Linked DNA regions of Macaca fascicularis. The protein of the gene in region 3 purifies or fractionates together with the protein of the main gene of each other region. This does not show direct contact. Links are inferred from orthologs where the notes say so. Each region holds a gene or a part of one and is shown on either strand. Other genes may lie near its edges.

What was found.
Region 1: the proteins of PPP1CA (region 3) and PEAK1 purify together in Homo sapiens (affinity purification with mass spectrometry; 3 studies listed by BioGRID and IntAct, counting the BioPlex papers as one, with this or other methods). This does not show direct contact. The link is inferred for Macaca fascicularis from reciprocal best matches to the Homo sapiens genes PPP1CA and PEAK1.
Region 2: the proteins of PPP1CA (region 3) and PDRG1 purify together in Homo sapiens (affinity purification with mass spectrometry; 4 studies listed by BioGRID and IntAct, counting the BioPlex papers as one, with this or other methods). This does not show direct contact. The link is inferred for Macaca fascicularis from reciprocal best matches to the Homo sapiens genes PPP1CA and PDRG1.
Region 4: the proteins of PPP1CA (region 3) and PPP1R3D purify together in Homo sapiens (affinity purification with mass spectrometry; 3 studies listed by BioGRID and IntAct, counting the BioPlex papers as one, with this or other methods). This does not show direct contact. The link is inferred for Macaca fascicularis from reciprocal best matches to the Homo sapiens genes PPP1CA and PPP1R3D.
Region 5: the proteins of PPP1CA (region 3) and RUVBL1 purify together in Homo sapiens (affinity purification with mass spectrometry; 4 studies listed by BioGRID and IntAct, counting the BioPlex papers as one, with this or other methods). This does not show direct contact. The link is inferred for Macaca fascicularis from reciprocal best matches to the Homo sapiens genes PPP1CA and RUVBL1.
Region 6: the proteins of PPP1CA (region 3) and CD2BP2 purify together in Homo sapiens (affinity purification with mass spectrometry; 3 studies listed by BioGRID and IntAct, with this or other methods). This does not show direct contact. The link is inferred for Macaca fascicularis from reciprocal best matches to the Homo sapiens genes PPP1CA and CD2BP2.
Region 7: the proteins of PPP1CA (region 3) and UXT purify together in Homo sapiens (affinity purification with mass spectrometry; 5 studies listed by BioGRID and IntAct, counting the BioPlex papers as one, with this or other methods). This does not show direct contact. The link is inferred for Macaca fascicularis from reciprocal best matches to the Homo sapiens genes PPP1CA and UXT.

Annotation. Positions count from the first base shown.
Region 1 is NC_088381.1:54,713,149-54,717,297, reverse strand, and holds the start of PEAK1 (inactive tyrosine-protein kinase PEAK1), read left to right. Parts: upstream 1-1,349; 5' UTR 1,350-1,792; intron 1,793-2,341; exon of another isoform or gene 2,342-2,458; intron 2,459-2,767; exon of another isoform or gene 2,768-2,884; intron 2,885-4,149. UniProt on the Homo sapiens protein: Probable catalytically inactive kinase. Scaffolding protein that regulates the cytoskeleton to control cell spreading and migration by modulating focal adhesion dynamics. Acts as a scaffold for mediating EGFR signaling.
Region 2 is NC_088384.1:88,033,722-88,036,193, reverse strand, and holds the end of PDRG1 (p53 and DNA damage-regulated protein 1), read left to right. Parts: intron 1-366; coding exon 367-447; intron 448-664; coding exon of another isoform or gene 665-687; exon of another isoform or gene 688-1,042; coding exon 1,043-1,125; 3' UTR 1,126-1,972; downstream 1,973-2,472. UniProt on the Homo sapiens protein: May play a role in chaperone-mediated protein folding.
Region 3 is NC_088388.1:6,974,540-6,978,699, forward strand, and holds the start of PPP1CA (serine/threonine-protein phosphatase PP1-alpha catalytic subunit), read left to right. Parts: upstream 1-1,360; 5' UTR 1,361-1,436; coding exon 1,437-1,491; intron 1,492-2,017; coding exon 2,018-2,149; intron 2,150-2,298; coding exon 2,299-2,529; intron 2,530-3,557; coding exon 3,558-3,662; intron 3,663-4,005; coding exon 4,006-4,160. UniProt on the Homo sapiens protein: Protein phosphatase that associates with over 200 regulatory proteins to form highly specific holoenzymes which dephosphorylate hundreds of biological targets.
Region 4 is NC_088384.1:115,990,406-115,994,486, reverse strand, and holds the start of PPP1R3D (protein phosphatase 1 regulatory subunit 3D), read left to right. Parts: upstream 1-1,281; 5' UTR 1,282-1,653; coding exon 1,654-2,553; 3' UTR 2,554-4,081. UniProt on the Homo sapiens protein: Seems to act as a glycogen-targeting subunit for PP1. PP1 is essential for cell division, and participates in the regulation of glycogen metabolism, muscle contractility and protein synthesis.
Region 5 is NC_088376.1:155,323,134-155,327,316, reverse strand, and holds the start of RUVBL1 (ruvB-like 1), read right to left. Parts: upstream 2,801-4,183; 5' UTR 2,693-2,800; coding exon 2,552-2,692; intron 1-2,551. UniProt on the Homo sapiens protein: Possesses single-stranded DNA-stimulated ATPase and ATP-dependent DNA helicase (3' to 5') activity; hexamerization is thought to be critical for ATP hydrolysis and adjacent subunits in the ring-like structure contribute to the ATPase activity.
Region 6 is NC_088394.1:28,493,692-28,497,932, forward strand, and holds the start of CD2BP2 (CD2 antigen cytoplasmic tail-binding protein 2), read right to left. Parts: upstream 2,801-4,241; 5' UTR 2,731-2,800; intron 2,224-2,730; 5' UTR 2,198-2,223; coding exon 2,120-2,197; intron 1,840-2,119; coding exon 1,704-1,839; intron 1,579-1,703; coding exon 1,421-1,578; intron 1,321-1,420; coding exon 885-1,320; intron 805-884; coding exon 698-804; intron 632-697; coding exon of another isoform or gene 613-631; coding exon 502-612; 3' UTR 1-501. UniProt on the Homo sapiens protein: Involved in pre-mRNA splicing as component of the U5 snRNP complex that is involved in spliceosome assembly.
Region 7 is NC_088395.1:47,757,226-47,761,264, reverse strand, and holds the start of UXT (protein UXT), read left to right. Parts: upstream 1-1,239; 5' UTR 1,240-1,281; coding exon of another isoform or gene 1,282-1,493; coding exon 1,494-1,591; exon of another isoform or gene 1,592-1,600; intron 1,601-2,547; coding exon 2,548-2,629; intron 2,630-2,771; coding exon 2,772-2,839; intron 2,840-3,121; coding exon 3,122-3,229; intron 3,230-3,463; exon of another isoform or gene 3,464-3,601; intron 3,602-4,039. Other genes in the region: uncharacterized protein, read right to left, coding at 1,282-1,495. UniProt on the Homo sapiens protein: Involved in gene transcription regulation. Acts in concert with the corepressor URI1 to regulate androgen receptor AR-mediated transcription. Together with URI1, associates with chromatin to the NKX3-1 promoter region.

The DNA.
Region 1 (4,149 bases), on a different chromosome or scaffold from region 3:
CAGCTAATTTTTGCATTTTTAGAAGAGACGGGCTTTCACCATGCTGGCCAGCCTAGTCTCCAACTCCTGACCTCGTGATGTGCCAGCCTTGGCCTCCCAAAGTGCTGGGATTACAGGCGTGACCAAACAGCTTTTTAAAAAAACTACTATAGAATTAAAATAATTGCAGAGTCTGAGGCTAGATTAAGTACAATCCCAAAAGTAAAAGTACACAGGCCTTATTACTTCAAAATACAGTTCTAGGTTCACTGATAACATATCCTAAAATTACTAACATTATTCAGATTTCACAAAGTAAGCTTCAAATAGATTGATTCCTTCAACACACAGACACACACCCCTCTAAGTATTGTGTTATCTGACAACAGAAGCCAAGGAATCAAAATTATTGAGTGTTTATTACCACCTCACATACAGTTTATTACAAATGAGATATTGAAAACCAGAAAGTTCTTATTGATCTTTTGTCCTTTGTGAGCCAGCTTTTTCCTGTTTAGAATCGGAGCTGAGTCTCATGACCCTTGTGTTATACTTTAATACCACAAAGAACAGATACCATTTAAAAATCAGTGATGAATTAAATTACAAAGGAGGAAAATGTAATAAAATGCAACTTTCACAAATGTTACGTGTAAGCTACGCATAAGAATTTTTAAGGCTGAGGAATTTGTTCTCAGGCACAGGGCAAAACCTGTAGCCAAAATCAACAGGACTAATAATTTAAGACGTCAATTTTATCAGTTAAGCTAACATCAAATTTGAGTACTTTAGTGTGATATTTTCATTCTGCTAAGAAGAAAACGCCCCGGATTTTATGTAAAATATTCAGTCCCCTAAATAAAAAGTTATCTCCTTAAAAGAGAAGCTAGATTTCCTGTTGCATGTCAAGGCAGAGGGCACCACACTTCACCCATCCGAGGCTGGACTTGAGTAGGGGTGCAGGTGTTGGCAATTCATCAGTCACACAAGCTATGTGGTCTTGCAGAGGTGAATAGAGATTTTTTAACAAGGGCTTTCGAATTCTTTGAAGAAAACACTGAGACAATTTTGCTGGGGAGGAAATGCTCCATCTTCCACGTGGAAACAAACTCATAAATTCTGACTGTAGGTTGGTGTTCAGCACAACTTGGAATAACCTAACTTTTCACATAGAACACAACCCCCAAGCTGCAAGATACGGTCTCCGCGAATGGCACCAAGCACCACCTTTTCAAGCCCTCACCAGCACTGGAAGTGGGTTGGACACCCCCAAACCATCACCACCCCCCCAACAGGAAGTGAGGGTGTCCCCCCTCCCCCAGGACGGCCTTCCTCCCCTCCCCCAACCGGAAGTTGAGGCGCCCCCATTCAGCCGGCCTCCAACCAAGACAAACCAATACCACCACCACCAAAAGAGGGGTGATCTTCAAGGGGTGAAAGGCAGCTCGACTGGGGCCACCCCCAAGCTCGCCTTGCTTACTGACCTGCTGACGACAGGGGCAGGAAGGGGCCTGGGGCCTAAAGAAAGTCCCTTGCACAGAGGACAATTCCCTCAGCCCCTCTCAATCGCCTTCACTTCACGCACTCGTCGTCTCACAGCTGGACAAAAATTCTTCCGCAGCACTTTATTTTGGTGTCCTTTCCTTTTCTTTACCTAATCTCTTAACCACCTTTCCACAGGTAACTCCTCTTACCGCACAGCATTTACAATTGCTCCGGTGAGGAGAAAAATGAAATATTTTCCACGGTCCCTTCAGAAAAATGAAGGGATTATTTTGCCCCAATGCGGCGAAGGACTACGCGGTTACGCAAGGTGAGCCTTATTTTCGTGGAGGTTTCTGGGAGATGTAGTTTTTTTTTTATTGCCACGGCCCGCAGAAAGTAGAGGAACTGAAATTGGTCATGACTATATATTAGCGTCCTCGAAAACATATTCTGTATTCGATGACGGCTGACCTAGCGGGCTCCGACGCCCAGATGGGCCCAGACTTCCCTGATCTTTTCCTATGCGGCTTAATCGAACCCAAATTTTCGCTCTCGCGGGCCCAAGGTCTCGGCAGCCCCGCCCCTTGTCTTGGCCCCGCCCTCCACAGCCAATCAGGCGCCCTTTAGGTCTCGTCCTCTGGAGCTTGGAACGCAGAGAGGAGGGGCCTGGCGGCGACTCCTCCCGCTGGGCTGAGGGAGACCTGGGAGACAACTGGAGCTTGTGCGCGCGCGCGCGCGTGCTCACGGCTCCAGGAGCGCGGCGAGCGGGCGAGGGCGCGCGCGGAGGGGCGGCGCGCGGGGCCGAGAGGAGGCGGGCAGGCTGGTGGGCTGGGCGGGCGACGAGCGGCCGGGAGCGCGCGGTGGACTCGGCCGCGGCGAGTAGTTAGTTAGTTGTTCTTAGTGTCAGTTGCTCGGCGGCGGCGGCCGTGGTCACCAGGAAAGGGACGGGACGGACGGCGATGGTGGTCGCCGCGGCGTCGTGTGCGCCCCTCAGGTAACAGCGGCCAGGCTGTCTGTGTCCCCTCGGTTGCCTTTTACTCACGCGCCGGCTGTGGGACCAGGGTTGCCGCGGGTTGAGGGCGCTGACCCGGGGGAATCCGGGCGGGGCGGGGCGGCGCGGGTTCTGGGTGGCGCCGCTGCCGGGGCTCTGGCGGCCAGTGCGTCCAGCCCGGCGCGGGCTCTCGCTCTCCGGCCACCCCCGCGCCCCGCTGGTGCCGCGCGCCCCCCGCCTCCCCTGCCCCCTCCCTCGGCGGCGGCCCCGGGAGCGCGGCGCCCCCCAGAGGAAGGAAAGTTGGGACCCGCCGCGAGGGACGCCCCCCGGCGCGGCAGGGAGGCTGCGGGGGAAAGTGAAGCCTGGAGGAGCTGGACGCAGGGAGGCCAGGGTAGGAAGGACTTCTCTGGCTCCTGCCGGGTCCACACGGTCAGTCCGCTCCCACACCCGGGAGCATCGGTGCAGCCTCGCCGGCAGCGCCGGGTGGCCCCCTGCCTGCTCCCCTCGCGCCGCGGCTGGGGAGCTTGCGAATGTGTGGGCTGGCGGGGTCGTTTGGGGGTTGTGAGTGGTTCGGCTGCTCAGTTTTTTTCTTCTCTGCCCTTTGACTCATCCGTTCTTGCAACTTTTCTTTCCTCCCTCGATGGGGACTTGCCGTCTGAACCGCGTCTGTCCCCTTCCCCCTCGTCGTATGCACCATCGGTCTGGGAGCTTGATTTCATTTTTTCCTCCTTTGGCTGCGTTCAAGATTGCTGAGAGCACCGGGAGCGACCCTCCTACCCCGCCTGCCTCTGGCCTGTTAAATGTTACTTTTTGCAATTCGTTGTTTTTTAAAGATCCAAGTTCAGGAATTTGAGAGCTGTGGAATGGAGTTATTGGAAGGCTGGCGTTGAGGGGGTAGTGATGAGCTAGAGGAAAACTATGATTTCATCTTTATTGGCCTTGCTATAGAAAACCTAATTCATTTTTTTTTTCTGCCTCTATTGAGTGTGGTAAGATCATACGTTGAATTAAATACTTAGAGACTTACATAAAAGACTATTTTTAGGTCATTGGATGATGTACGAGAACAGCTTTTCACCTGAACTGGGATTGCCTTGAGGATTCTGTTTTGGGGCCTACCTACTGATTTTTGTTCAGCCACAGCGTCGTCTTTTCCCGATAAATGAAGTGATGTAGTGATGTGTGTAGTCAGAGAACCCATACTGCTCTCTGCAGTATGGAAGTGAAAAACGTGAATTATCCACAGGGGTAAAACTTTCCATGAGCAATCTTGAATACTCACTTCATGATGGCTTCTCCTGTAATCTCAGAGCATTTCTAGATAGCTCAATTCACTGGCTACCCTAATTACTTTCTGACTTGCCTGGGACTTCTCTTTGGTGACTTGTTTAGTAAACTATAATGGCAGATATGGTACATTTTCTTGGCTTCAAAGTTGAGGGTTGTAGCCTCAGCCCAGAGATGAACAATGGAAGTAGAATTCATAGCACTGCTAGTGAATTTTGGATATGACCAACTCACAAACTATGTGAAAAAACAAACATCCCCTTTTCATTGCTGTCAGGGAGGAAAGGGGGAATATTTTATTATGTCTTTGTTTTGGATTCTCTAACATGACTGTATTATGTGGGGAAAATGTCAAATTATTTTCTTTAAGGCTTTTTAATGTGTGTTCCTTCTCTTCCCTCACTACC
Region 2 (2,472 bases), on a different chromosome or scaffold from region 3:
GGGTGGGCTGAATCTAGAGATGCTTCTTTGTTTGTGCATTGGAGTTTTCCATAATTTCATTGTGGGAGGGCGGCCTAAAGTCCTGATGTTGCCTTTTCTGTCCACTGACCACCTCAAGGTACTTTGCATAATGCAAAAAAGGCCAGTGTAATGGAAGTCGGGACTGCTGTGTCCTGGGCTCTCTGAGTGGTCCTGAGCAGGTCATGTCCCTTCTAGCCTTGAATCCTTCCTCAGTTGGCCTCTGATGTCTCCTTTTCCTTCCTGAAAGCTACACGCCCTTGCTGGGGAGAGGCTGGCATCTCCACTCCTGAGGTCAAGTCTGTCTGGTACAATCTTATCCTCTGCTTGCCCCCCTCATTTTTTCAGATCAGGATCATCTGGATAAAGAAATAGAAAAACTCCGGAAGCAACTTAAAGTGAAGGTCAACCGCCTTTTTGAGGCCCAAGGTATTGGCCTAGCAGGGACTGGAGACGAGGAGGGGAGAGAATCATCAGCATGGACTTTGAAGGGCAGGGGTGGGAAGCCCAACCCTCAGAGGTGGGCAGTGGCCGGGGCAGCCTGTGAGTGGCCCTGGAGGTATGCACAGTGGTTGGTTGTAGCTGCCCAGGGACAGAATGGACGGGAATTTATAGAGTCCTAGTCCTGTCACAGCTTCTTTTCCAGGTCCCAGGAACCGCTTGGGGTGATCTCACGTTATACATCAGGGCATGGCATGGGGATCAGATAGCTCCGACTGAGGAAACTCAGAAGGCTTCAGTGAGTGATTGAGGTCAGAGCTGAAATTCTTGATAAACACAAGCACTCTAGATTGGTCACAGGTCTTGTAAAAACCTGAGACAGCAGAGTCATGACTTTGTAGGTTCTTGGTGACACAGGAGTGGTGGTGATGCCTCATCTGGTGCATTGCAGAATTGGAGGCCCATCCCTGCCAGACCTCCAGGCCAAGTTTGGCAGCATTAGTGCAGCGTCAGCCCCTTTCCTGGGCCTGGTTCCAGAGCCAGCAGGAGGCCTGACATGCTGATGGATCATCTTCTCTCCTAGGCAAACCGGAGCTGAAGGGTTTTAACTTGAACCCCCTCAACCAGGATGAGCTTAAAGCTCTCAAGGTCATCTTAAAAGGATGAGACTCAAGAACCAAGATGGGGGACCAGCAACCCCCCAGGGTCATGAAGGACCCAGAACCCTCCAACCTTGACATCTGTAAGAACAGGATCTGCCCTGTAAGGGGACAGGCGTCAGGAATCTGGCCATGAAAACCTCTTTGTCTGTAGTGCTTGGCTACTCTGTGATGGCAGGAGGGAACCTTCAGCCTATCTGGCTGCTGGACCTGGACACCAGGGCTCAGTGGACACAAGATCTATTGATGGGCCCTGGTAGCCATCAGTGGGTGTGTGGGGCAGTGGCTGTGGGGGTGTAAGAATGACTGCAACAGGCACTTCCCAACAATGGCCTGCTGTTCACATGGACCCTGAGCAAGGAGGGAGGGAGGGAGGGGCAGAGTGGAGTTTCATTCCAGCATTCCCCTCAGAAGGGAGAGAGGTTTTCAGGCAGGTGCCATGGGATTGGAATAAACCAGGAGGCTCATGGGTGGTTGCTGAATGAAGAACAGAATCTTGGTGCTTTATGGCTCACCACAGCCATCTGTGGGGCAGGCACACACCTCCCTGCCAGCTCCATTTTTGCGCTTTTTCCCTGCTTGATTCCAAGAGTGGGTGCTGCCTAGCAGCCCTTTGTGGCCGCTCTTTACTCAGGAGGGCCTTGCAGAGTCCTGCACCCGGCCTGGGTGAGTGGGTGCCCCTCTTACCATATATGACATGTGTCAAGAGTGACCTTCCACCCCCTCTGAAAGTGGGGCCTGGCCAGCACTGCTCGTTACTGTCTGCCTTCAGTGGTCTGAGGTCCCAGTATGAACTGTCATGAAGTCAAAACTCTTGTGTTCATTAAGGGCTCAATAAATGTTAGCTGAATGAATGAATAGCAGCAACTAGTCTTTATTTACCTCATCTAGTCCTTCAGTGAGGGTACGCCGCTCCATTTAGAATACCACCTATGAACATGGTTCTTGCCTTGAAATGAACCTGTGATAGGCAGGTGACAACAAATGGCAGCATGGCAGGGGCACACCTCTCCTGGTCCCCCTGCTTCTTGGCTCTGGCTCATAGTTACATAGAAACACAGGCTGTCATGGCCAGTTCTTAACGTTTTTTCTTTCTTTTTTTTTTTTTTTTTTTTTTGGAAGGAGTCTCACTCTGTCGCCCAGGCTGGAGTGCAGTGGCCGGATCTCAGCTCACTGCAAGCTCCGCCTCCCGGATTTACGCCATTCTCCTGTCTCAGCCTCCCGAGTAGCTGGGACTACAGGCGCCCGCCACCTCGCCCGGCTAGTTTTTTGTATTTTTTAGTAGAGACGGGGTTTCACCATGTTAGCCAGGATGGTCTCGATCTCCTGACCTCGTGATCCACCCGTCTCGGCC
Region 3 (4,160 bases):
CTCAGCCTCCCAAAGTGCTGGAATTACAGGCCTAAGCCGCCACAGCAGGCCCACCTCCAGTTCTGAGGTTACTGGCATGTAAAGCACCCAACTCAGGGTTCCAACAAGAATTAAGGTTAATTTATCGTCTGCTCCTTTGAGACAGAGTCTCACACTGTCACCTCGGCTAGGGGGTGCAATGGGCCTTGGCCCACTGCAACCTCCGCCTCCCAGGTTCAAGTGATTCTCCTGCCTCAGCCTCCCCAATAGCTGAGATTACAGGCGGCTGCCATCATGCCCAGCTAACTTTTTGTATTTTTAGAGAGATGGGGTTTCACCATGTTGGCCAGGCTGGTCTTGAACTCCTGACCTCAAACGATCCTCCCACCTCAGCCTCCCAAAGCGCTGGAATTACAGGCGTGAGCCACTGCACCCAGCCATGTCTGCTCATATAGTAATTCTTTTTACGTGCACACCCTGCAATATTACTGTGCTACTCAAAAGCTAATTATGGGGCCAGGCTTGTTGGCTCACGCCTGTAACCCCCCCAGGACTTTGGGAGGTCGAGGCCAGTGGATCACTTGAGGTTAGGAGTTCAAGACCAGCCGGGCCAATATGGCGAAACCCCACCTCTGCTAAACACACAAAAACCAGGCGCAGTGGCGCGCGCCTGCAATCCCAGCTACTCCAGAGGCTGAGGCAGGAGAACCCCTTGAACCTGGGAAGCGAATGTTGCAGTGAGCCAAAGTCGCGCCACTGCACTCCAGCTTAGGCGACAAAGCAAAACTCTGTCTCAAAAAAAATAAATAAATAAAAGCTAATTATGGGACTTGTAAGAAAATATTAATTTATCATGCCCCAAGGACCAAAGTGCGCTGGAAGTTCAGCCGTAGCTGTCTTTGAGTGTGGTCAGCCGCCTGGGGGCCACGGAGACCCACGAAAAAGGGGGTCGTACGTGAATGCGAGGTCCAGGTCTTGCACCAGTCTGTTCATATCTCTTGAGCCTCAGTTTCCTTTCCTGCACTTCGAGCAGTTAACCCTCAGTGCCTAGCAGCCGGTTATTAATATGTTCACAACACCCTCCACCCAGGGCAGGGGTGGGAACGGCTGTTCTGCTTTTGAAAGAGAAAAACAACTTCCACAGTTCTTCCGGCCCCACATCCTCTGAACCGGGCTGGGCGCCTCCTCTGGGGCGTAACCAGTTGGACGCGCCCCCGACAGACCCCGCCCCCAGCCCGCCGCCAAGGCCCCGCCCCCCGGGCCGCGGCGCTTCACGTCCAGCGGGGGCGCTAGAGCGCGGGGGACCGGGCGGGGCGGGCCCGGGAGGCCCGGAGGCGGGGCCGCGGGCCGGGGGCGGACTGGGGCGGGCGGAAGGAGAGCCAGGCCGGAAGGAGGCTGCCGGAGGGCGGGAGGCAGGAGCGGGCCCGGAGCTGCTGGGCTGGAGCGGCGGCGCCGCCATGTCCGATAGCGAGAAGCTCAACCTTGACTCGATCATCGGGCGCCTGCTAGAAGGTTGGTCGCGGCGGGGGAGGCCTGCGTCCGCCGCTCCCGGGCCCCCTGCCGGGCCCGGAAGTGGCGCGCGGGCGGGCCCCCGGGGCCAGCTTAGACTGGGCGGGGACGGGCCGCGAGGTTCGGTGGCCGCAGCCGCCCCCCCGCGGACGCGCCTGAGAGGTCCTGGGCCCGCTCCGACGCGCGGAGCAGCCCCCTCTCCCGGGCCGGGGGCGCACGGGTTGCCTGGGTTCTTGAGGCGAGGGAGAAACCCGGGAAGCCCGGTCCAGGAAGGGGTCCTGCGCTGTGAGGTGTTTGGGTGGCAGCCCCCTGCGCACGACAGTCGCCTCCCGAGGCGCTGAGGGTAGTTGGGGGCTTCCCTTGGGAGGCTTGAGGCCGAGGTCCCGGGAGGCTCAGCAGCAACAGCTGCCTGCGGGCAAGGAGCAGCCGAGGAGGCCTAGGCGCCCCCGGAGGTATCCATGGGGCCACCCGTGTCGCCCACCCTCCTCCTGTCAGGGTCCCGGGTCTTGACACCCCATTGCGCCCCCAGTGCAGGGCTCGCGGCCTGGCAAGAATGTACAGCTGACAGAGAACGAGATCCGCGGCCTGTGCCTGAAATCCCGGGAGATTTTCCTGAGCCAGCCCATTCTTCTGGAGCTGGAGGCACCCCTCAAGATCTGCGGTGAGCCCCCCGACCCAGGTCCCCTTGCTTTCCTGAAAGTGGCACTGGCCCCCACAGAGTTCCTGGAGTCCTCCTCCCTTGAGCCCAGTCCTGGTCCTGGGTTCAGGTCTAGACCCTGCATCTAGCTTACCCGATTCCCTGGGTCACAGGTGATATACACGGCCAGTACTATGACCTTCTGCGACTATTTGAGTATGGCGGTTTCCCTCCGGAGAGCAACTACCTCTTTCTGGGGGACTATGTGGACAGGGGCAAGCAGTCCTTGGAGACCATCTGCCTGCTGCTGGCCTATAAGATCAAGTACCCCGAGAACTTCTTCCTGCTCCGTGGGAACCACGAGTGCGCCAGCATCAACCGCATCTACGGTTTCTACGATGAGTGTGAGTGGTCTGAGCGTCTGGGGCTGCCCGGGTCCTGAACCACACTCCTTGTCATTCAGTGGGACCTTCACATTGGCCTGATATCTGACAGACACTTGCTAAGACTGTGCACTCCACGAAGGCAGGGCCCAGGTCCGTTCTTGTGCCTGCCCTGCCCCTCCTGGCATGGGGTCTGGGGAATGGTTGCTGACTGAAGGACTGTCCGTATTCTAGTGCTTTCCCCCAGGGCCCTGCCTGGTGACGTTCCCTCTACATTTGCTACTAAGCATTTAGGATGTTTGCAGATGAGCTCTGCTGTCCAGAAGCTGAGATAAACCAGACCTGTACTTGGCCCGGCTCGTGGGCCGGGGCGTGCAAGGAGTGCCAACCCTGAGGCTGGTCCAGATTGGAACTCAGTTTCCAGTGGACTCGGGTGCTTTAGAATTACTTCTGGTGGGAGGCTGAGGCGGGAAGATCACTTGGACTCAGAAGCTCCAAGTTACAGTGAGCTATGATCTTGCCAATGCACTCCAGCCTGGGTGACTGAACAAGACCCTGTTTCTTTACTTTTTTGAGACGGAGTTTCGCTCTTGTTGCCCAGGCTGGAGTGCAGTGGTGTGATCTCAGTTCACCACAACCTCCATCTCCCGGGTTCAAGCGATTCTCCTGCCTCAGCCTCCCGAGTAGCTGGGATTACAGGCATGCGACACCACGCCTGGCTAATTTTTTTGTATTTTAGTAGAGACAGGGTTTCTCCATGTTGGTCAGGCTGGTCTTGAACTTCTGACCTCAGGTGATCTGCCTGCTTCAGCCTCCCAAAGTGCTGGGATTACAGGTGTGAGCCACCATGCCCTGCCCAGATCCTGTTTGTTTAAATTACAAATTAAAATAAAAAGTAACTAGAATTACTCCTGGAAGGCTGACAGGCGGCAGGGGTGGGGGTGGTTTGCATTGGTGCCTGACTCTCTCCCATCTGCGGCTGAATAGCCCAGAGACCCCGGCTAAGGGTGGAGCAGGCAGACCCCTCACAGCTACCTCCCTCTGGGCAGGCAAGAGACGCTACAACATCAAACTGTGGAAAACGTTCACTGACTGCTTCAACTGCCTGCCCATTGCGGCCATAGTGGACGAAAAGATCTTTTGCTGCCACGGAGGTGAGCTCTCCTTAGTTGTCATCTGGGAAGTCACTCCTTTCAGGAAGTGTCTCCCATACCCCCCTGTGCTGGGCTGCACTCACTTCCTTGATGTGCATTCTACATGGGGCGGGCTTGTCTCCTTTCTCCCAGGAGCTCTGTGCTCCGGAGGCCAGGGGCGCCTTTGTGCCTGTTTGGGAACTTGAAAAAGCTGAGGGGAAGGGGATGGCTTCTGCCTGCCTGGGCACCCAGGAGACCAGTGGAGGGACCAGGAGGGTGGTGGAAAAGTGAGGCTCACTGGCCAAGGCTTCCTGGAGGAAGGATGTCCTTGTTTGAGGAAGTGACCTTCCTTCTGGCCCTCCAGGCCTCTCCCCGGACCTGCAGTCCATGGAGCAGATTCGGCGGATCATGCGGCCCACAGACGTGCCTGACCAGGGCCTGCTGTGTGACCTGCTCTGGTCTGACCCTGACAAGGACGTGCAGGGCTGGGGCGAGAACGACCGTGGCGTCTCTTTTACT
Region 4 (4,081 bases), on a different chromosome or scaffold from region 3:
TGTTATTCCCCTCTCATTTTGAGTGGCCTATTAAAAGTGCACTGAATGGAAATTGGGTACTTCTCTTTTCCATGTCACCTGTCTCTGTAAAATAAGAGATATGATTACAGAAGATTTTTATTTTCTTCCTGAAAATTTCCTGTATTTTTTCCACAATAATCATGTAAGCCTTTTTAGTTAGCTTACATCCAATGATAAATAAAATCACTCTCTCACATTTAATGAATTATACCACAATCAACAGCCTTGACTCATTTTAGACGTAGAAAATGTTCTTGAATCAACCCCCTTTCATTAGTCTGGTTTTTTTCTGCTTTGTCCCTCTGGACAGTAAAAAGGAACCTTCTTAATGGAATGCCTTGCCCCAAACTGCTCTCTGGAAAGTGCACTTGCATCTTTTCCACTTCATTTCACCTGGTAAGCTTTACACCAAAGGCTGTGGGGTCTTGTGCTCAAAGCTACCGGGTGAGAGACACGAATGCTTGCAGTGTACTAAAGAGGCAGAAAACAAGCTCCAGGCCTTGTTGGTGTTTCTGGCTTGCTTGGAAACAAAGCTAAAAGATTTGTTTCGGAGATTCTGCCTACAAATATGCTTCCCAAGCGCCAGAGGCTGATTAGGGGCAGCTGCAGAAGTCATCACCGGGTAATAACTCTTGTTCCCCTGTCTTCCTCTCTGGCGCTGAGTCCAGGAAGACAACAGCAGCACCTCCCCACCCCACCCTCAAGGGAATCTGCTGGCCATTTGGTGCGGCAAAGCATTCTGGGTGATGTGGACATGACGCTGCTCCTCTACGCAGCGAGGCTCCCTCGGTTTGGCCAAGGGTCCAGGTTGCAGTGAACCTGTCCAAAGTGTGGGCTGGCCTTGATGTTTAAAATTAGCCTGCGACCATATCCCGGCAAGGCCGGTTTTTGCACCACCACTCCTCCCATCCACAACCCAGAAATCTAAGGACACGCAGCATGCATTTTCCTTGTCCTCCGTTTGTGCAAAGTCTATAATCGATAGGCGCGCAGTCCAGGCAGACGTAAACAGAAATTGATCAGACCTGTTTCGCGACTGCAGCGGACACGTGACGACGCTGCCAGCCTTCCTTCCTCTCCGGCGCCCGCGCGGGAGGCCCGGCTGCGGCGCGCTGCAGCAGGGGAGCTGGAGGCGGCGGCGCGCAGCTCAGCGGAGCTCCCGGGCTGAGCTGGGGCAGGCGGGGGCCCGCCTGCAGGCGGCGTCACGAGGGGCGGGGCGGAGGCTCGCTAGGAAGTTGCACCCGGTCAAGTTGCAGCCTTGTAAGTAACGCTGCGGACCGGGGAAGTGGGAGGGGCCGCTCCCGGAACGCAGCCTTCTTGTAAGAACCTCCAAGAAAGCAAGAAAAAAAAACAGAGGCGCTACCCTGCGCTCCCGGGAGGCCTCTGAAAGCTTCAACTAAAGAAGCACCCCCTCTCTTACAATTTCTTTAACTGCAAGAAGCGGAGGACCTGGACAAGGACTCGAGGGGCAAGGTGGCGAACCAAGGGTAGGGCGTACCGGGCCCGAGAGGTCTCCCGCAGGTTGCAGATACGGAGAACTCTCAGCGGCTTCTGAGCACGGAGGGAGCTGTCGCGGGGTCGGGAGGCCGTCCCTCATCCCTGTCTTCCCATCTTCCGACGGCCGGCGGGACCATGTCCAGAGGCCCGAGCTCCGCGGTCCTGCCCAGCGCCCTGGGATCCCGGAAGCTAACCCCCCGGAGCCTCAGCTGCTTGTCGGACCTGGACGGCGGCGTGGCCCTGGAGCCGCGGCCCTGTAGGCCCCCGGGGAGCCCGGGCCGCGCGCCGCCGCCAGCGCCAGCGCCGTCCGGCTGCGACCCCCGCCTGCGGCCCATCATCCTGCGGCGGGCGCGCTCACTGCCCAGCTCCCCCGAGCGCCGCCAGAAGGCCGCGGGCGCGCCAGGCGCTGCATGTCGGCCGGGTTGCAGCCGGCAGCTCCGCGTGCGCTTCGCCGACGCCCTGGGCTTGGAGCTGGCGCAAGTCAAGGTGTTCAACGCGGGAGACGACCCGTCGGTGCCGCTGCACGTGCTGTCGCGGCTCGCCATCAACTCTGACCTGTGCTGCAGCAGCCAGGACCTGGAGTTCACCCTGCAGTGCCTGGTGCCCGATTTCCCGCCGCCCGTCGAAGCCGCCGACTTTGGCGAGCGCCTGCAGCGCCAGCTTGTGTGCCTGGAGCGTGTCACTTGCTCGGACCTTGGCATCAGCGGTACGGTGCGCGTGTGCAACGTGGCCTTCGAGAAGCAGGTGGCTGTGCGCTACACTTTCTCGGGCTGGCGCAGTACCCACGAGGCGGTGGCGCGGTGGCGCGGGCCCGCAGGCCCCGAGGGCAAGGAGGACGTCTTCACCTTCGGCTTCCCAGTGCCACCCTTCCTGCTGGAGCTCGGCTCCCGCGTGCACTTCGCGGTGCGCTACCGAGTGGCGGGTGCCGAGTACTGGGACAACAACGACTGCCGAGACTACAGCCTCACGTGTCGCAACCACGCGCTGCACATGCCTCGGGGCGAGTGCGAAGAGAGCTGGATCCACTTCATCTGAGTCACGTGGGGACCAGCCACGTGGAGCCTCCACACCTAAGCTGCGCCTCCTGTCATTTCCCTGCTGGGCTCTCACATCTATCCGGTTGTTCTTCGCCACCCTGCAAGTCCTCTGACCTAATTTTCTGTGGCAAGGTCCCCTGGCAGCGGCCCATCCTGTCTTCTACTTGAAACGTCTGAGACACTTGGTCTAAAAAGTAGCCTCAGGTGGCCAGAAGGCCGAGTTGTGTAATGAGTTGGGGCAGGGTAGTGGGGTAGGTGCATGGGAGGGTGGGCCCTCTGGGGAGGCCCAAGCAGCTTGTTTTGCAAAGGCCCAAGTCCTCCTGCTAGGAAAAGCTTTTGCATGTGCCCTGAATGTGTCTCTGTAAACATAGCTGTTATTTATTATTGTGATGTTGGGACCGTTAGCCCATAGCGGATGCCTCCTCAGGAATATTCTCGATTTAATAAGCTAAAAAAAAAAGTTATGTTGTATGTTTGTGCCCACAGTAAACAGAATGTACAGTGTGACCCACATCATGGTCCCTCCAGGCATTCCTGCCCCAGGACAAGGAAAACCTGAGACCGCATCTGATTGCCAGTGGCTGTTGCCTTCTAACCGTGGGAAACTATTAATAGGCAAGAAATTTCTGCTTTATCAGTCATCACACAACCATTCCTGGGCATTGAGACTGTCTTGGTTAGGCTGTGTGTCTCCTACATTAACAGCTAGGGAGGAGGGAAAAGCTTCAAACTTTTAAACTAGCAAAACAGTTATTTCTCTGCATTCACAATTCTGATTTCATGTATTTCTCTGTACATGTTTGATCATTATCAGGCCATTCTGTTTAAGTTTTAACCTTCCTAAATATTTTAAGAAATCTTGCCTCAGTTGTTTCAGTTTTCAGGTGACTAGAGAATTTCAGGCAACAGTGCCCTTTGCAATTACCTTTTTGATGATTAAGGTGACTTTTTATTTCTTGTTAAGCATCAGAAGATGTCAGCATTCATCTTTTGGGAGTCCAGTTACAAGGTGGAACTAGAAGGTGTTTTCAGCAATAGCCAGAGCACTGGAGGAAAAATAATTGACAAATACTTATACTTTTAAATTGTTTTGAGTTGTATTTACATACATCACGTTTTATCAGGTACCCACCAACTTTATACTTTGTGCCTTCAGATAGTTTCTAACATTTTCTAGTTTGTCAGCTTTAAAATATTAAATTCTTTTATGTTTTTAAACTATCAACCAGTAAGTCAAGACCACTGTCCCCTGCTGAGTTAGGCAATCGCTTAAAACTCCAAAGAACTCCGGGCTGAGTTCTTTTGGTGCTCAACAGTGGTCTGACAACAGGTGCTAGAATTAAGGTGTAGGGGAAAAAAAGCCAAGAAGGACTAGATCTCCAATTTGTGAAGTTTGTTTATGATACAGTTGAAACAAGTCTGATCAGTTTTATACCTGTCACCAGGAAATTAACTCTAAATTTTTGAATGCTTGTTGGCATCTGTCAAATCAATACTGAAAGGATGCATTTCAGCTTTTAACCAGT
Region 5 (4,183 bases), on a different chromosome or scaffold from region 3:
ATATGTGTGTGTATGCTATATCCATCCCATTTCCACTTCAGTTACCAAAGCACACTGCCCTTAATAGAACCTAGAAGATATTCTTCAGATGCTACTTTTTCAGATGGAGTCTCACTGTCACCCAGGCTGCAGTGCAATGGCGCAATCTCAGCTCACTGCAACCTCCGCCTCCCAGGATCAAGTGAGTCTCCTGCCTCAGCCTCACGAGTAGCTCAGACTACAGGCACATGCCACCATACCTGGCTAATTTTTGTATTTTTAGTAGAGACAGGATTTTGTTATGATGGCCAGGCTGGTCTCGAACTCCTGACCTCAGGTGATCCACTTGCCTTGGCCTCCCAAAGTGCTGGGATTACAGGTGTGAGCCACTGCGCCCAGCCCAGATGCTATATTTCTAAACAGATAAAAAGCCTAGCCAGGCGCGGTGGCTCATGCCTGTAATCCCAGCACTTTTGGAGGCCGAGGCGGGTGGATCACCTGAGGTCAGGAGTTCAAGACCAGCCTGGTCAACAAGGTGAAACCCTGTCTCTACTAAATATACAAAAATTAGCCGAGCATGGTGGTGGGCGCCTGTAATCATGGCTACTCACGAGGCTGAAGCAGGAGAATCACTTGAACCCGGGAGGCAGAGGTGGCAGTGAGCCGAGATCGCACCATTGCACTCCAGCCTGGGCAACAAGAGCGAAACTTCATCTCAAACAAAAACAAAAACAAAAACAAAAAAACCTACTATGATCTTTCCATACAACCTTGTCATATAATCCTCAGCACTGAAGCTCTTTGGAAAACTCAAGGTAGAAGAGACTTTACAAACCTTGGATATGTGCTTTTATTTACAGACCAGGACCTCTTCCATCTATTCTCCCTCAGTTTCCACTCCAACTTCTCTCAGGTGAGATAAGCTTGAATTCTAACATTTAAAAAGAATTGGAAGGGTCTTTAAATGATCACCTAGTCTAACTCTCATTTTTCAGGTTACTGATGTGACCAGAATCACACAAGAACCTGGTAGCTGAGGTGGGTCTTAAGCATACAACATCAGTTAAGAGCATGGACTCTGGGATTAAATACATAGACTTGAGTTAAAATACTCTCCCACTTACCAGATGAGTAACCTTGGACCTACTTACTTGACCTCTATGAACCAGAATTTCCTCACTTGAACAGAGTTCATACTAGTCAATGGCACACATGTTAAAGGGTGTAGGGGTGAAGTGTAGTGATGCCTGCAATTCACCTTGAAATGTAAAAGTGGATTGGGAGAGGCACACATGGAAAGATATATGATAAAGCAGCATAGTAAAATGTTAATCATAGAATTTAGGTACACAGGTACTTACTATACAAGTCTTTCAACTTTTTTTGTATGTCTGAAAACTGTCATACTAACGCAGGGAAGGGACAACTAATTCGTTGGATATGACAAGGCAATGGACACACAGCTACTTAGCACAGTGCTTGGCACATGGAAAGCACTCAACCAATGTTAGCTACTTGCAGTAATAGCTGCTTAGTAAGACAGGGTCAAACACTTCCTTTTTGGAAAGATGATGCTCAAAATGGAAACCCGAGGTTTTTCTTTTGAGCCCTTTCTATTTAGAAAAATCAGGCTAAGAGGCAGTAGCTTAACTTTGTATTAAGTGAAGATTTTTGTACAAGCTAAGGCTCTGCAAAGGCCAAGGGGCATGGCTGTGACCTCAGACAACAGCAGGCAGAGAGAGTGGCTATGTCATCATAGAGCACTGATTTGGGAGTCAGAAATACATGTGAGCGCAAATCCCCGCTTTACCATTACTAAAACGAGTGTCAAGTATATGGTGAAGTGCCCTCTCCCCAACTCAATATTTTCACCTGCCAAAAACCAATAATGTATGTGAAAGTACTTGGCATCACTAGCACTCAGAAAAAGGAGATTTAATTGGAATGGTCAAAAAGGATGCTTGGAGGGATAAATAAACCAGATTGCTCTTCTCCCTAATTCCCACTTCTCTCCCTCAGCTCCCGGGTCCTGGGAACCAAAACGAGCTTTTAAAGTTTAGTCAATTCCCTACTTTAAACCGTCCCACGGCCTGCCAGTGCGTTCACAATAAAATCCAATTTCCTTACCGTGGCCGACAAAGTTCTGCAGTAACTAACCCCACCAAGATAATCATTTTTGTTTATTGATGTACACGTTTATCGTCTCTCACTACACTAAAATGTAACCTCCTATCTTATCTCCCGCTGTATCCCGGGAAATAAGTGTCGCGAATAGAGCTCAGCATGGATTAAGGGGACGGGGTTGTGTGGGTTTCCATTAGTACTTGTCCATGAGTTGAAGCAAACCGTCAACTGGCCCCAGTGGGTGGTCACTAGTTTTCCTGGGGCGGCCCCTCACCCAGCTCCAGGGCGGCGCCCCTCCCCGAGCCCCTGGCCTATTTTCACTTCCCTGAGGCAACTATGGCGGGAGACCCCTGGCGCGCGCATCCCGACCCGAGCCACCGACTTCAGCAGCTCTCTCGCCGCAGCAGCCCTGCTCGGAGCCCCCAACTCCCTGGTCCGCTGGCCACACCTCTCGCGCGTTCTCCTGGCCCACGAGCCCTGAGGCCGCCTGCTTGGCCAAGCCGCTCTCGTCCAGCCCCAGCCCTTTCACGTGGCTGTGGGAAGCGATGCGCTGCGTTTTCGTGGTGCTCTTCACCTCCTCAATTTTCATTTTGCGGACGCCGGGAGCTAAAACCAGCGTGGAAAACCAGCAGATAGGACAGTGCGCCCAGCGCCCGAGTTACCATGCGGCCGTTACTAGGGCAATTTGCAAAGGCCCGCCTAGGTTGGCCTTCCATTGGTGGAAGCGGGAACGCCTCCGCTCTCCATAGGCTCACGGCTGCGCCCATCGCGGCTGCTGCTGGAGCTCCAGTCACTCACTTCCGGCTGTGTCTCTGGGTTGGCTTCCCCCGCAGCCGGCGCTTCCTGCCCAGGCTGGGGTCGGTAGCACAGTGGGACCACGCCCCGGATTTGATTTCGGGCTGGGGCGTTGCACGAGGTAGTGGCCCCCGGGTACCACTCCTAATCCTTCCGTCCTATCCATTATCACGTTTGAACGTCATACTCTTACGCGAAGCTCAAGTTATTATTTCCGTTTTGGAAATAGAAGAACTGAGGTTCAGAGCTTAAACTGCAATTGGTTACTAACCAATGTTTTCTGACTCCCAGACCTTTGCATCTCGTCTGGAAAGGCCCAGCGCAACCCACCACTCCTTCCGTGGAATTGTCTTCCCCTGCTTCTAATCTCCATCCTCCGCCGAGAGATAAGGTTCCTGCTAAGTTCAGTTCAGTTGACTGTAAATAACATTTTGCAGTTTTCAAAACTCTACAGCCCTGTAAGGTAGTGTAATTACGAATGCAGCTACAGACAAGCAGAAAGAGGCCCATCCGCCCAAGAAAGCACCACAAAGAATCAGAACTAGAAATCTTCAGGCTTCAAAACCTATATAATAATGCTCATACTGTCCCATTATTTCAGCTGAGACAATCAGCCAGCAAATTGTCCCTTCAGGTTTCATAATGATATTCGCACAACCTGCACCACAATTGTACTTGCCATCCATCCATCCATCCATCCATTTAACAAACACGAGCCAGACACCACAATGCACTGGGGATACAGGGATAAAAGTCTTGATGAGCTTACTCCTTGCTTAGAAAACTTGTAACATGAGATGTGGTGAGACAGGTACACCCAGGTGGCAAGAAGACCAGAGCAGAAGCCCCAGGAACAGCCTGGAGAGCCAGGGAAAGCACCATGAAGGTGATGTTGCCTTGGCTGAATTCTGACAAATGGGCGAGATTTCCTCAGAAGCAAATGGTATGACACCATTTTTACAGAAGAAGATACTAACATCCAGAGGAAGGGAAGGACTTGCCCAGAGTGCAGGAGAGTTTATATTAGAATTGAGACAGACCTGAAATCACACTTCCTTGTACATCTTGATTCTAAGTTTTGAATCTAGGTTTCTATATTTTTTTTCTTTTCTTTTGAATCTAGGCTTCTAGTGATTTGCATAATTACTGGGTCAATGTTTGTCTCTCCCAGTAAACTGCAGGCCTTTTGAGGGTGTAGACCACATTTGATTGTTTACCATTTTAACCTAAGTGCCTGGCACACAGCCTAAAACACAACTCACAATTAAGGCTTCTCATGAATTCA
Region 6 (4,241 bases), on a different chromosome or scaffold from region 3:
AAACGTTTCCATGCCCACCCCCAACAGAGACCCAATGTCTTCTCCATGCCCCGGTCCTTCCAGGCCTAAAAGCTCCACTTCTGGGGCTCCATCCCCTGGTGGCTACAAGGACAAAGAATCTGACATCCTGAAAGCCAAAGACCTAAGGGGAATCAAACAAGAAACCTCAGAGAGGAACACAAAGTAGCGCAGTTGGGGGTGTTTACACAGCAAGCAGAGTCCAGGCAGTGAGGCCACAGGACACCTGACAGGCACCTCCAAAGAAGATCTTCATGGGAGCAAACACTCAGGGACCAAGGCAAGTCCAAAGTGGCTGTGGAGAAGGCCCCTGGCTTCTGGCCGTCAGCACAGCCAAGGCCCCAATACACAACTAAAGGCTTTTATTGGGAAAGGGAAATTGACTGAAAAATGGCCTCCAATTTCCTCACTGCCTGAGACACTTGGTGCCTTCTCCACAAAGTCCAGGAAAGAATGACCCACCAAACTGGGCCCCCAGCAGGCTCAGGTGTAGAGCTCAAAGTCAATGCGTTTGGAGTTGTAGAACTGACCACCAGGGGGGTCCAGCTTCCGGCAATAAACACCGTCCGGGAAGTAGCCTTCACTCACCCAGGTCTGCAAGGAGAGGGCAGAGCTGGGGAAGGACTGACAGGAGTAGGGGAAGCAGGGACAAGCCAGAAGGAGGGAGAAAGCAGCTCACCTGCATCTGGGCGCTGGTGAAGGGCCCATACAGCTCGGCATCCCCCGTGTTCTCCCACTTATATTCCCACATCACATCCACCAGACCATCTCCTGGCGACTCTGCTTCTAAAATAACAGGCAAAGCCATTTGACCTCCGGTGTCTCACTTCCCGCCCACTGCCCCCTCCTCTGTCCTCCAAGCTTACCTCCTCTCTGGGTAGGGGTTGGGGTCTCCAGTTCCTCCTCTGCCACTTCCTCAGCGAACATGTCCAGGGAGGGTGGGGGTGTGGGATTGTGGGGTCCCACGGTCTGACACCCCAAACCCTTCAGCCGCATAGCCAACCGTTCCCTTGTTTCCTGGTACACGCCAAGGTTGCCCCGGGCCACCATCTGGTCGGCCAACCCGGAGAGCCGGTCCAGGCGCTGAGGGGAACTGGGACGCCCAGGCCCCTTGCTGCTCCCTTTGCCTCCTCCTCGGGCCCCTAGACGCCTCAGTGCCCCAGCCACTGTCTCTCTAGGCAACAGAAGCTCCAAAAGTCCCTCCAAGAGGGCTTGGGCACTCATTGGGGTCTGGCCCAAGCTGTCTTCCTCCTCCGAGTCTGAGGCCTGGTGCTGGCCAGGTGGCCGCTCCCGGATCTTCACCTGTCATGGAAAGATGCAGTGATTTCCCACGAACTGCCATGGGAGCAGGCCTAGCATCCGCCACTCCCCGGCCCCAGCCACACCAGCCCCTGGGCCTCACCCAGTCAATGTTGTCCAGCCAGCTGTCTCGGATCTGAGCATCCCGGTTCAGGAAGTAGTTGCCATCAGCATCAAAGTGTCCTTCCTCCATCTCCTCCTGCAGGTTAAAGGGTGTGATCCGAACACCCCCCTCGCTGGGGAGTGTGGCTGCCTCCTGACCTGTACCAAAGACACAGGTGCCCTTTTCTAGGCATGGAAAAGAGAGACTGGAGCCTCCCTCACTCCACACCACCAGAGGCCCCTACTTGTTTCTCCAGCAGAGTGTATTCTTGGGTACAGCTCACCTTCTACATCCTCTGAGGCCAGGATGTCGTATTTGCTGGACCCCCCATCATCATCATCCTCCTCATCGCTATCCAAAGAGTGTTTGCCTTTGAAGCGGCTCCCAGGACCCCCTGACCCAGCCACAGGGTCCACCAGCTGTGAGCAGGAGTCAAGTCAAGAAATGCAGGTTACTGGCTACCTCCCCAAATACTTCCGGATCTGGACCCAAATATTCCCCAAATATTTCAGGATCTCGACTACTTCCCCAAATATTTTAGGACCCACACTGAAGATGCTCCCAACCCATTCTTCAGAGAACCTGAAAAAACTAGGCTTTTCTCTGCCTGCCCGCCCCGCCCCACTCCCGCCAGCTTTCTTTCTCCTCAGGCTTCTAGCTCCTCTCTTTCCCCCACACAAAGGAGTCTGGCCCCCTCACCTTCTTCTTGGGGACACTGATTTCATCCTCATCTTCCTCATCTCCCACGCCTTGGAAGGTCACTTTCCTCTTTGGCATGACGGGGCAGAGAGGTGTTTCTCAAGCTGAGGAAAGGATACAGAGAAAGAGAATGGGGTGAGGAGGGGACTCGCCACCAGAGGACCCAGCACAGCAAATATTTTTCCTGGTCTGTGACAGGTACAGTTTGGGAGCGGAGGGAGCACAAAAGCAAGGGCTGAAGAGAAGCTGGCAGCCAGGAGGCCTGCAGGACTTGGGTCTAGCATCCGCGAGTTAAATGGGGTGGGGACGGAGGAGCGGACCCTCTGGATCCCCTGACCCTGGCCAACAGGGAACAGACTTCACCACGTGACCGCTCCCAACTCCAGCCCCCGCAGTCTGGGCGCCACCGGCTCGACCGGCTGACCCCCGCCTCCTACTCTGGCTCTCTCGGAGCTCGCGGGGCCCGGGCAGACCCAGGACCTGGCGCTCTCGCCACCCCGTTCCTCCCTGCTCCGAACTCCCAATTCCGTGTGGTGAGCCCCAACTGTCCCGGGCTGTGTACAAATTAGAGGGCCACGGGGATCCGGGCTGTCCCACCCTCGCGCGCTCACCTGGGACTCCGCGGGAGGCGAGGTGGCGAAAAGAAGAGATGCTTGCGCCAAGGCTACATCCGGGGCACCCGGCCGCCATCACCCGGAAGAGGACTGTGGAAGGCGCCTGGGAAGCCCGGAAGTGGCTTCACTCGGGTTAGGGAACTAACTGGAAGAGCGGGCGGAAGTACGCGGTGAGCGAGGGAAGACGCCTCCACCCTCTCTCCCGCAAGAAGTGACGTCAGTCGCGTGGGAGGACAATGGCGAGAAGAGGGGACCTGTGAATGCCTACACTCTGACCGGGCGTGAGAAATGGCCGGAAGTACCTTCGATTCCCTCATTCAAGCAGTAGAGGCTCTGGAGAAAAACGAGAGCATCTACTTAAAGGGTCGCCCAGGGTCAGGATGGAGGGGCAAAGTCCGAGCAGGGCCAGTGGGTCGCTGCCCCGTTTTCCTGTGCTGGGTTCGAGTCACCCTTCCACCAGGGCTGAGGGCTCAGCGCCCCTACCGTCTCGTTAGAAATCCTGCCTTCCCACTCCTGTGGTCCGGTGGTAAGCTCTCCTATCTGAGAGGTGGAGCCTTGCCCTCCCCGAGGGGAAGCCTGGCTCTCCCGATGGCCAGCCCGGGGCCCCTGGACGGCTCTCGGGGCACTTTCTGGACACAGCTCCCTTTAGGACCCAGGGGAAGTCATTTGTCCCACGCCCATACCCTGGGCGAGTTCCTGGCTTCTGAGGTGGGAGAGCCATCACTGGAGAGGTGGCATTGGCACCAGTACCCAGGCCAGAAGTCCCTGTGCCCTGCTCTCAGATAGGCCTGGAAAAGGGCAACAGTGCCTCTCTGTAGCATGAAGCCCCTCTGAGCAAACAGGGCCTAGCACCACGGCCTGGAAAAGGGCAACAGTGCCTCTCTGTAGCATGAAGCTCCTCTGAGCAAACAGGGCCTAGCAACTCGTGCCCAGGTAACAGAATGTGGCCCAAGCAGAAGCGGGACTGGGGGAGGTGGCGGGGGGTCAGCCCCTGTACTGGAACCTCTAGCTCTTGAGGACACTCGGAGCCTGCATCCCCCTAAGCAAAGACTGCCCAGGCGGCACCTGCTGGAGCCAGACGAGGACAGTGTGAGAGTTCCCCTACTCTTCCCCAAGGCAACTAGATGGGCCACTTCTCTCTCCCTAGGGATTTCCTCCCATATTGGATCACGATGGAACTGCACAGAAAGTCCATGCTCAGTTTCTTCCATGGTTACAGAACACAGGCCCCAGACCAGGAAGGCATGTTGCTAAAGAAGGGGACCCGAAACCTCAGCTACCAGCACCGATGGTTCATCCTCCAAGGAAACCTCTTCTACCTAGAACACCAGACCGATCATGCACCCCTGGGCCTCATCCCGTTGGAGAACTGCCAGGTGGAGCTACACCTTAAGAACCCTATGCCTTTACCATCCTGACTCCTGGGGTGGGCGGGCCTACAAGCTGGCTGCAGAAACCCAGGAAAACCTGGAGACTTGGCTGTGGGCACTGGCTGGTGTGAGCTGGAG
Region 7 (4,039 bases), on a different chromosome or scaffold from region 3:
GTAGGGGTGGGTGCTCTAAGCTCTATAGATGGAAATAGCATTTGGAGATTCATCCCATGGTCTGGATTCTTCTCCAGGCAAAGGCCCATTCTTGCTGGGTTATAAGTTCTTGTTTGAAAATCTAACCTGAATTTAAGGCATTTCAGTGATAGACTGGATTAAGAAAATGTGGCACATATACACCATGGAATACTATGCAGCCATAAAAAAGGATGAGTTCGTGTCCTTTGTAGGGACATGGATGCAGCTGGAAACCATCATTTTCAGCAAACTATCACAAGAACAGAAAACCAAACACTGCATGTTCTCACTCATAGGTGGGAACCGAACAATGAGATCACTTGGACACAGGAAGGGTAACATCACACATCGGGGCCTATTGTGGGGAGGGGGGAGGGGGGAGGGATATCATTAGGAGATATACCTAATGAGTTAATGGGTGCAGCACACCAACATGGCACATGTATACATATGTAACAAACCTGCACGTTGTGTGCATGTACCCTGGAACTTAAAAGTATAATTTAAAAAAAAAAAAATCTAAACTGAAAAACAAATTCACTCAGTCACTCTAGTGCATAAGAATAAATTCACAAAAACCTTACCATTTAAATAAAAACATGGGAACTATGCCTAACTACAAGATGGCCAATATTCTGCAGAGGACTTCAGCCACCCTCTCCATTTGACTATCAAACGAGGTGATTAGATATAGTGCGTTGTCAATTTCCGCTTGAGCCTCAGTTATAGGTTGCAGGTACAGAGCTGGAGTTATCAAAGATGAATTTTAGAAAATCTGTCTCTGTTTAAAACCTTTTAAGTGCTCATACTCAGTCCCATTGCCAGGAGTGAAACCCAAACCTCCCGTATGACAAATCAATATCCAAGCCGACAGATCACACGGGATCTTCCTTATAGACCAGAACCATAGTCAATTCTTAGGTCCTTTTAAATATTAAACTCTTCACTTCCTCTCTCTACCTCTACCTGTGCGTCGCGCCTAACTTAGAACCGCCAAATCCCATTAAATCCCACCCTCACCAGCGACGCACGGTCTCCATAGGCTCCACGCGCCGCTTTTGCAGTCCCCCATTGGCCGGTTTATTGCCAGATGGCCTGCTCCCACGCCCTAGTCATCTTTGATCTCCTCGGATTCCGTGAAGCCCCGCCCTTCTCTTCTCCCCTTTGGCCCGTCTTCCCCAGCTGGCTATTTGGTTGGCCAGCGCGCTTGCCACTTACGTCATTCACCCGCGCCACCCGGAAGCCGCGGTTCCTACCAACCGTTTTTATTGCTGGCGGCCCTGAGGTAAAGGCCGCGCTTCGGTGTCCCTGGGTGGCCGGGTCCCCGAGTTGGGAGGGGCGGAAGGCTGAGCCCCCAGCTTGAGCCGGACAAGTCGATTCCCAGCGTTGAGAGGGTAGAGATGAACTGTGTGTGAGGCCAAACTGGAGCGGTCAACGTGGTCTTCCCCCTCCCCACTCCCCAGGAGCCCATCATGGCGACGCCCCCTAAGCGGCGGGCGGTGGAGGCCACGGGGGAGAAAGTACTGCGCTACGAGACCTTCATCAGTGACGTGCTGCAGCGGGACTTGCGGTGAGTGACAGTGCAGAGGGCGGGGCGTCTGGAACATTCCACGTGGTGGGTGGGGCGTTCAGAGTTAGGGCCAACCCTTTGGATTGGTGGGCGAGGCGTTCAGAGTCCGGCCCCGCGCTCCTTGGAGCGTGAAGTGGTGATGATATCCGGGGTGCAGTTTGGCTGGGACGTGGCGTTCATAGCAGGGGGCGTGTCAGCGCATGCGCGGCCTCCGATGTTTGACGGATTAGGGCTTGTTTTCTGGAGCCACAGTTCTCAGGTTCGAATCCTGGCTCGGCCATTCTTCATCCTTGTGAATACGTCATACCTCGCCTTTCTGTGCCCTATAAACTTCTCTGTGAAATGGGGAGTTTTCTGGAACCTTCCCCATACAGTGGTTTTGAGTTTTTCATATGTCCCATCTTTGTAAATAATTTAGTAGCATGGATGCCTGAAACATAGTAGAGGTTAAGTATGAAGAAATATTATTGCAATTTTTGTTAATCTAAGCAAGAAGTAAGGTGTTCAGAACTAGGACTATGAGCATCCTAAAAGGGATGGAGGATTTTTCTAGGGTGAGGATGGGACATTATGATTGGAGTTCAGTATTGGGAGTGTAGTAATAGTAATAATAGCTAACATGTAGAGAGTTTACCATTTGGTAGGCATTATTCTAGATGCTTTGAGTAAATGCTCATTTAATCCTAATGACTCTACAAGGTAATACTGTCATCTGCATTTTATAAATGGGGAAACCAAGTCCCAAACAGGTTCCTTACTTGCCAAAGCCACACATCTATAAAGGACAGAGCCCAGATCCAAACCCAGGCAGTCTGACCCAGAGCCCAAAATTAACTTGTACACTAAAAAGCCTTTTCAGCGTATGGTGACGTGAGAGTCTCAGAGGGTCATGATATGAGGTATACTAGGAGGAATGGGGCTGCCTATTGGTCACCATTGTACTTTCATCCCATCAGAAAGGTGCTGGACCATCGAGACAAGGTATATGAGCAGCTGGCCAAATACCTTCAACTGAGAAATGTCATTGAGCGACTCCAGGTAAAGACTATGGGGTTGGGTATCATTTTTTTGGTGTGTGTGGGTAAGGGAGGGAAATGGGAAGAGAGACTCCAGAGCCAAACCTGTCACCTGACCTAAGAGTTCACCACTGACCCCTACCTCTTTTTCCCTGGCCCCACAGGAAGCTAAGCACTCGGAGTTATACATGCAGGTGGATTTGGGCTGTAACTTCTTCGTTGACACAGTGGTGTGAGTGTCTACCCGCCCCTCTGAGCCCACAGGGTTCAGCTTACCCCTTCCCTCATGCAACATATATTTTTTTGAGTATCTTCTATGTACCAGGCACTATACAAGGTTTATTATCCCAGTAGGATATAAGCTAGGCGCTGGGGATGTGACAGTGAATAAAATAGGACAAAATCCCTGCCTTCCCAGAGCCTCAATTTGGGGAAGGGTGGGGAGCAAAACATACACTCTGCTAAACAGTGATAAGGACTTCCCCCGCACTTCCTCTAACCTCTCTTTCCTCAGCCCAGATACTTCACGCATCTATGTGGCCCTGGGATATGGTTTTTTCCTGGAGTTGACACTGGCAGAAGCTCTCAAGTTCATTGATCGTAAGAGCTCTCTCCTCACAGAGTAAGTCCATTCCATGAGGATAGTGTGTAAAAATACCACCATTTCCAACACTCTTCTCCCTTTCCCCATGGCTGCCTAGAATGATACTTAAGGACTCATCTCCCCTCCTCCTCAGAGCTGGGGCTGAAGAAATGTGGTTGCAAAGCCCATGTATAGCACATAATAAGCATTCAAAAAATGATCTTTGTATCGTTCATTCATGCAGACATTTATTGGGAATCTTCTGTATGCCAGGCACTGTGCTTAGCAGTGGGAATGCAGCAGTGAACAAGACAGAAGAGTTCCTTGAAGGCTTAAAATCTAGAAGGACTATACTGTTATACATAAATACAATTATGACCAGATCCATGAGGTCTCAGCCTGTTAGAGTTGGTAACAAGAAAACTAGTTACCTGTGATTTCACTTCCTGCTAATTTTACTATTCATTCACTGTGTTCCTGCCACACTGACCTTCACATGCTTCTTTCAGCACCCCAAGAATGATCCCACCCCAGGGCAATTGCCGTAGCTGTTCTCTCTGCCTGCACTGCCCTTTTCCCCAGTACCCACATGGCTTCCTTTCTCCTCACTCATCTCGCTTAAATGTCGCTTCCTCGATGAGGCCCTCTGTAACCTAACTTTAAAATCACAGCCCCTGGCATGCTTGATTCCCCTCCGTCTACTTTTTTTCCCTAACACTTATCACCCCCTAATATTTACTGTGTAATTTCTTGCTTTCTCATATTGTCTCCTCCAATTAGAATGTAAGTTTTACAAAGGGGGAGCTTTGGTTTATATCCCAGGTGACTAGAGTAGTACAAACATAGAGT